Linked DNA regions of Danio rerio. The protein of the gene in region 1 binds, or shares a complex with, the protein of each later gene. Links are inferred from orthologs where the notes say so. Each region holds a gene or a part of one and is shown on either strand. Other genes may lie near its edges.

The links. The genes of interacting proteins can lie anywhere in the genome.
Region 2: usp39 (region 1) and lsm7 share a complex: the UniProt entries of both Homo sapiens proteins name them as parts of the U4/U6-U5 tri-snRNP complex. The link is inferred for Danio rerio from reciprocal best matches to the Homo sapiens genes USP39 and LSM7.

The regions. Positions count from the first base shown.
Region 1 is NC_133180.1:74,850,164-74,854,269, forward strand, and holds the start of usp39 (ubiquitin carboxyl-terminal hydrolase 39), read left to right. Parts: upstream 1-1,306; 5' UTR 1,307-1,381; coding exon 1,382-1,433; intron 1,434-3,523; coding exon 3,524-3,602; intron 3,603-4,106. Other genes in the region: si:ch211-283h6.4 (UPF0561 protein C2orf68 homolog), read right to left, coding at 844-953.
Region 2 is NC_133197.1:10,400,946-10,405,293, forward strand, and holds the start of lsm7 (U6 snRNA-associated Sm-like protein LSm7), read left to right. Parts: upstream 1-1,460; 5' UTR 1,461-1,475; coding exon 1,476-1,481; intron 1,482-1,723; coding exon 1,724-1,814; intron 1,815-1,917; coding exon 1,918-1,989; intron 1,990-4,297; coding exon 4,298-4,348. Other genes in the region: sass6 (spindle assembly abnormal protein 6 homolog), read right to left, coding at 434-538, 658-737, 827-887, 1,038-1,102. UniProt on the Homo sapiens protein: Plays a role in pre-mRNA splicing as component of the U4/U6-U5 tri-snRNP complex that is involved in spliceosome assembly, and as component of the precatalytic spliceosome (spliceosome B complex).

The DNA.
Region 1 (4,106 bases):
CTTTAATAACAGCTAGAAATGTTGTTCATTATTGACATTTAGTTTTTAATTTCAGTAAAATGTGTTTCAAATTGCGATTAAACTCACTAGAATGTGTCCTATTGAGTTTTATTTCTTATTCTGAACAACATATAATGACTTGATTACATGCTTTATAAAAGACACCAGCTAAAATGACATTAACATGCCCAAAAATGATTGTCAGGTACATTTAGACCAAGAACCATTTGGTCACATATTAAAAGACACATTCTCCTTATTAATATAATTTTATAAAAGTATTATCAGCAAATACTAAATAGATAAATCATATTAGCAGCCAATGAATATGAAAGTACAACATTGTTTACGAGCAATTAAATAGTGCTAATGTTGTTTTGAAGTCATATTTAGATGCTATTTAAGAACCAATATTCAAATTTACCAAGTAAACAATATAAGGGCTATTAAAATGAACAAATGTGCGTTTATTAAACCAACTTTACCTCAATAACAACTATAAATGTTGTTCATTATTGACATTTAGTTTTTATTTCAGTAAAATGTGTTTCAAATTGCGATTAAATCCATTAGAATGTGTCCTGCTGAGTTTTATTTATTTATCTGAACAACAAATAATGACTTTCATGCATTTTTAACCATGATTTACCTAAAACACGCACTAAAATGACATTCACAACAGTTTTAACAGCCCAAAAATGATTGTCAAGTATATTTAGAACTAGAACCATTTGTTGACATGTTAAAAGACTATTTCAAGGCGCATTGTAAAGCACTAAAATGCTCATTTATTATAATTATAAGTGTTTTCCTCTACTAGTGAGTGTTGTTGTGGACAGAAACCTGGCGATCTGATTCCTCCTGATGTGCCTCAGAAAACCGTGGCTCATGTCCAAACGACCACCGGGCTTATATTTAGCATTCTCCCCCTCCCCATCGCGGATGATCTCCATACTTTCTGCTCTTTTAATGTAATTATTCCTGAAATGAATTCATCTTTAGCACATCTACAAACATTCTCTTTATAACATCTCGCCGCTGCTCACTGGGGGTCGGTGATTCAAAAGCGTTGTCCGACAAAAAGCGACACTCGAGTTGGTTTGTTTTCCATCCACAAAACAATTTAGCTCGACTTTTTTGGCTCTTCTTTGAAACAAATATCCAGTTTTATGTATATAGTTATATGATAAGCAATGAAAAATCAAGATAACACCATTGGGTGTTTGTTTACGCATTCTGCTGTGTTTTGGTCCAGGGGTTTAGTGCTTGTCGGCCATCCTTTTCTACAGCGGAAGTGCAAGCGGGAGTTTTGTAACGCGTTCACAGTGCGTTCATTCAGCGCTGAATTTACTTGATTTATAGTTGCTATTTACCTTAAAATATGATCAGAGGCGTGAAACGGGAGAGGGATTTTGATGAAGATGAAGAGGAAGGTATGCCTGGAGTGTTTATGAGCTTAGCAGTACTTGGTAACGTTAGCTTTTGTAGCACACGACACAGATATACACAGATTATCGTGTCTGTTTTGAATTGAGTGTTGATTTTGGCTTTTCAAAGCTCTCTTTCTTAAAATAAAGCCCTCAAATAGACGTAAGAAGGTCCACACAATGAAAGTCGTGGCATTAAATCTTAAATAAATGTCTTGCATAAATAATATTTTGGTTTCCAGGTCAAAGATCTAAACCTAAGTTATTTCATTTAAGATACGTTTACTGGAGATGCAAAATGAAACACAGGTTTGTTATTGAGGTAAAGTTGGCTTTATCTTTGCACATTCGTTCATTTTAACGCTACCTATATTGTTTACCACGATAATTTGAATATTAGGTCTGAAATAACATGCAAGTATGACTTCAAAACAACATTTGCACTGTTTCATTAACCGTAAACAATGGTGTAGTTTGATATTCATTGGTTGCTATATGATTTCCCTATTTAGAATTTACAATAACCACTTTTCTGAAATTATATTTCTTTTAATTATAGTGGTATGCTACAACCGAATGTTTAATTTACACAAAAGTCATTTGAAACGATAGCAGACACTGCACTTGTATTAAATATGACTGCTATGAATATTTTTCATATATAGACACGTTAAGGATTATTTCTTTTAAAATACAATATATGTGTCAGACAAAACTGGTTTAAATGTTGTTTATTATTATTATTATTATTATTATTATTTCAGACTGAATATTTAAACTAGCATAGTAAACGATATGAGGACCGTTAAAATGAATGAATGTGTGAATAAGTAATAATAATAGTAATATTAACAGCAACTTTTGTATTATTCCTCTGTTACTATTTTCGAAAGTGGTGCAGCTGTAACCCAACAATGTTTTTGAGTAAATACCAGCTCAATTATAAAAAAAAAATTCTCTTTATAAAAAGCTATGAGGGCATTTCTCTGATGCACTAAAGTCCCAGTTCTGCCTAAAGTTTTCTAGAGCTACATTAGTTTTATTTCATTATATATATAATAGATAAATATACTGTAGATATAATAGATAAATATACTGTAGATATAATAGATAAATAGATACATTTTTTTGTCTTCTGGAAAGTGGTAATTGCCAAGCTCTAAACCATGGGTGCCTTTTTATTATGAAGTGCCAAAAACCAAACTTGATTGAGGGCCGTGAGCTGAAGGTAAATATATCAAACTGTGTTACTAAGTTGCCGTGGATAATATCCTCATTTATTTAAAATTAAATAAAAGGTATACTTTAATCTTAATAACTATTGCTATATATATATTATTATTCATTTTCTTTTCAACATAGTCACTTTATTAATCCGGGGGGGGAGGGGTGGGGGGGGGGGGGGGGGGGTGTAACCAATAGCGTGAGAGATATCAAGTAAACCAAGTCCTGCCCCAAGACTGACAAAAATGCACAATTTTAGGTGCAAAGATGCATTCTGCATAAATGTCTCCTAAATATGCGCATGCGGTGAGGATTTTGTTGTGAAAACAGTGAAAATTTATGCACTCGCACAAATGCTTCCTAATATTTTTAAGGTGGCTTAGATAAAATTTCGGACGCATATGCGACCAAACGATCAAACCCTAGCATCTTTACTTGTTATTATTTCTTCATAAAAATTATAAAATAAGGAAGTTATCATCAATCACAATACAAATTACACTGAACTCCAAACAAACTCTCGTCTCCTCCACCAGCGGTGGGGAAAAAGCCATTAGAACGGCACAGATCACTCTACCTATTCATGTCTGCCTAGTCCCACGGGAAAAAAGTGATTGACAGGTGGTAATTTTTGTGTAACTTTTATTTATTTATGGTTTTGTTATAAAGACTATGTGGGTCAGGTAGTTAAAACGGTAGGCTACAATTAATTAATTTTTTATGAATAAATTGATATTTAACAACAACCGCCTACGACGACGATGGATATCGTTGGAAGTTGGTTGAGAAATCTTACCCAACAGAGAACCACATGACAACTGAGAGCTGTGATTTGTTATGAATTCTTATATTTTGTCTTTGGCTAATTTTAGAAGTGCGTGTGAAAGTGGGTCGTGGTTATGTTGAAGATCGCAGAAGCCGCCATTGTCCATATCTCGACACAATCAACAGGTTTGTTATTATGATTTGTATATATCTTTATTGCTTTATTGTTGTGTGCTTTGTAGGGCTGCACAATATATTATTAAATTGAGGTAAAGTTCCTTATATTGGCATGTTTGTTATATATATATATATATATATATATATATATATATATATATATATATATATATATATATATATATATATATATATATATATATATATATATATAGTATATTAGCCTGTATTGTTTACTAGGCTAATTTAAATATTAGGTTTAAAATTGTGTTCAAGTATGACTTCAAAACAACATTAGCACTATTTAATTGACTGTTAGCAATGCTGTACTTTGATAGTCATTGGCTGCTAATATGATTTCCCTATTTAGAATTTGCAAATAATACTTTTCTAAAAAGATGTTATTAAGGGAGAAAGTCAGAATGTGCCAATATAAAATCAACTTTACCTCAATTATTGTTTCAGCATTGGCTGAACACAGAAATTACATTTTATGCAGATGTGCTTCACTAC
Region 2 (4,348 bases), on another chromosome or scaffold:
ACAAAAAACATGTTAGTGTCCATTTTAACCATACAAGAGTAAAATTCTTAAACCGTTTATTGCTATTATTATTTTTAATATTAAGAAATGCTTAAATGACATTATTTGATTTGAAATTTAGAAGAAAAAAAGAAATGTTTTCAAACATGTACAGACAAATACAAATATAGAGTTTTCAAGGGGTCTCTTTATTTTTTCCCATAGATAGATAGATAGTTAGATAGATATTTATAAAATTTTATATAAGTTTCATTTCAAAAAGTTTATATTTTTGAAATAAACACCAAACAGTATTAATATTTGACTCAGTGAAGAACCAATAAGAAATTTTTGTCCTGAGGTTGACTAAATCATCAGTAATTATTGACTTTAGCCTGTCTATCACTTTAACAACTGCAACATCTGAACATTATTATGAATTATAACCTCTTACCGTGGGTTTTCTTTGTCCTGTTCGCAAATGCACTGTTCAAGTAAGTCTATAAATTTTTGTGGGAATGATGTGAAGTCTATTAAAAGCCCTTGTTGTACTTTTAAGCTGTGAAGAAGAGCAAATAAAAACGATTACACAGAATATAATCACATAGAAGCCTAATAGCAAAGTGTTGAAAATAAATATGGCTCATTGATGAAATGACACTTTTAATACCACAATACCTTTGAAAATCCTCCTCTGATATGATAAGGTTGTATAAAAAGTAAAGATCAGTATCATCAGTCAGCCGTACAACTAAATCCTGTTGATCAAAAATTTAAAAAAAGTTATAAGACCACATAAAACATGCTTAAAGGCATAAATATGGTTGTACACATGTTAATAACAAACCTTTCTGTGAACAGGGCTGGATGGTAACTGCAGTTCAATGCTAACGCGAATAACCGAACGCCTGTAGTAACAAAAACAACATATATAAACACATATAGACCCTTACAGACTTCGAAATGTTAATAATTACAGACAAAATAAAGCCAAAATTCATACCATAAATCAATTTAAGTTAGGCATTGTGTTCAAAAACAAGACAATCAACACAAACCTCTCATCGGTATCTTTACTCTTCACCAGCACCTGCAACCGCTTGTTAAAAAGTAATTCCGTCATTCCTAATTCATTCACAAAGCAACGATAATAATTAAAAATCGTGTAATCCTGTTTTAAAGATGTTATTTAGGTTGTTGAAAGACTCATTTGTTTTTCGCGCTTCACTCCCGCGTTTGTCCGTTTCCAACCGGAAGTGAGAAACACTTCAACCTAATCACGCGTATCATCGTATTTCAACATGTTTTTGTTTTTATAAATCGTATAATATAGATATAAACATTTAAAGCTGTATATACTGTGTAGTTGTGCGTGAATAAAGCTGATAAAATTGAAAACATTTGATATCAGAGTTCACCTGCGCGCGTTGTGATTGGCCGAGAGGTAGACGTCAAACGTGAACCCGGAGTGGGCGGGGCGTAGAGGAGTTTTGAACATGGCGGTGAGTAGCGCAAACGTTTCCACACCGTTCACATTATAAACACTTTTAAGGACAAACGGCGTTATAAACAAACATATAAGCACCTGAATATATCCTACACTCTTGATATTTATGTTGTTACACATTAGGGTGTGCTGGTAATTGTAAATGTGATGTGTGGTGTATTTTTGTGCTAAGCTACGAGTCTGATATTTATTATAGAGGCCTGGAGATTGTTATATAATATGTTTTTGGATCCTCAGGACAAAGACAAGAAAAAGAAGGAGAGTATTTTTGATTTGTCGAAATACATCGACAAACATATACGTGTAAAGTTTCAAGGAGGTCGCGAAGGTGAGGGAGTTGCTTTATGAAATTAATTATGAATTTAAATGTTTCACATTATGATATTTAAATGAATTGTGGTAAATTTGACACTAGTGTTTCCTATTTTCAGCAAGTGGCGTCTTAAAAGGCTTCGACCCGTTGTTGAATCTTGTGTTGGACGGCACCATTGAATACATGCGAGGTAAAATGTGCTAATGTAAACCGAATATGTACCAAATTATGTTCTGCATTAAATTTCTCACAGTATTAATGTTAGTGTGGTTTGTTTTGAACAAATTTTAGTGTAAATGCTGCAATTTAAATTATAAAATTAATCAATTTATTAAATTATAAATTATATAAAGCAACATACAAACTCTTGTGGGTTGACTGATATATAAATGCATCTAAATCAACCCAAAGAGGACATGATGCCATGATATTAAACATAAAAAGGCAGAATGCTCCAGCATAGCTATTTTTGTCAGCATAACAATGTTGCTCCTTACCGTTCAGTTCAGGCATCAGAAACAGTCTCAGCAGATCTTCATTTGGGTGTGTGTGAGCCAGAGGAAATTCTGGTGTTGGTTTGACACATTTAATATGGTTTTCTGAGAGAGTTTAAATGCACTTGAAGTTAAATAGTTCACCCTAAAAAAATGAATACTGTCATTGTTAGGCATGGGCTGGTATAAGATTCTGACGGTTGATAACCTTAGGTTGAAATATCACAGTTACACAATATCATGTTATTGTACATACTGCTCCAAAATATTTTATTTTTAAATGTCTGAGTAAAAAAAAAACTTTTCCCCCATTGAACATGGTTTATATTTTTTAACATTTAAAATATTTTGAAACTATAATGTCAGGCTAAATAATTTATTGTTTATTAATTGTTGAATGTCATTGACTTCTGCTGTCTTAATTAGTTTCAAAAGCACAGATTTCTTTTCAACTTGAAAAGGCATCTTTGGATATCTTTCTTTTCTTTGGATATAAAAAAAATCATCTACACTGTTCAGCTCTACAGCATGCTGGATGTTGGTTTATAAGAGATTTGTTTTTCAGATGTTTCCTGAATCATGGTAACTTGTGATGTGGATGGTCCTTTTCTATTGTTGCCCAAAAAAACTCAATAAAATAGTCGTAAAAAAAAAACTTACAAATACCTTGAGAACGGTATAACAGACAATTTTAACGTTTTTAAAACCTTGACTTTTCAAACCGCGATAAACCTTAAAACAGTTATTGTCCCACGCCTAGTCATTGAATACTCACCCTTTATATGTTTCAAACCTTTTTGAGTTTCTTTCTTCTGTTAAACACAAAAGAAGATATTTTGAAAAATGCTGAAATCTAGTAGTGAAACGGTTAGTTTTCGGATAAACTATAACTAAAAAAAAAACAACAACAGGTAAATAGAAAAACACAGATTGAGAAAGCTGAGACACATATTCCTGAATGTGATAATATGCACCGAAATGTGTCGGGGGACCTGAAAATGTAATGAACCCGACCCTCTGCTTCCTGTTTAGAGGTGGTGGTGTTGTCAAAGAGCTGAGTGTTTTACTTTAACGTCCTAGTTGTATGATTCCCTGGTGTTTGGATAATTTTAGCTTTAAATGCTGACAACACCACTGTCTCTAAAAAGAAAGCTGCCCCAAAGGTCCCCCAAAACATTTCTATGTGCATATTTTGGAAGTTGCATTCACGTTACTAAACTAATGACGATTAATTCTCAGTTTGTAAGTGTTTTTCTATTTGCATGTTTACACTGCATTTGTCCTCTCTAGGGCACCGTATTTAACTGATTAAAAAATGTGTGCATGCACATACAGCAAACAAGTGTATCTAAACATACAGAATTGTTTTGAAAATTTAAAGTCACAGAATCCACCGCGGTGACTGAAGCTCTGCACATGACTTTTGGTCAGCGGAGAAATTAAAATGGTCGTGCCCAACTGAGTCTGGTTCTCTCAAGGTTTTTTTTCTTCACTCCTATCAGGTGAAGTTTTTTTCCCCTCTCCGCTGTCGCCACTGGCTCGCATGGTTCAGGATTGGTAGAGCTACGCATTGATGAATTTGCTCTTCAGTGTTTGAACTCTCAGTAATGATTTTAAATCACACTGAACTGAGCTAAACTGAACTGAACTGAACTTAAACACTAAAATCTGAACTACACTGTTCCGGTTACTATGACCATTAATGTGAAGCTGCTTTGACACAATCTACATTGTAAAAGCGCTATACAAATAAAGCTGAATAAGCTGAATTGAATGTCATAAATGCAGCTGCTTTTCTGTCAAAAATCAGAGTATGAAAGCTTGACAAACTAGGACTATGTATAATTTTTTTGTTTGGTCCAAACAAACTGACTAAACTACAAGTGTTAACACATCCGAAAATACGAAAAAACCCCGCCCTAAGAGTAAAGACATCTGTGTTTGACTATTATCATTATATCAATGGTTTTATATGATTTCTGACCACATTTATTTCCCACACAGATCCTGATGACCAGTATAAACTGACCGAAGACACCAGGCAGCTGGGTCTGG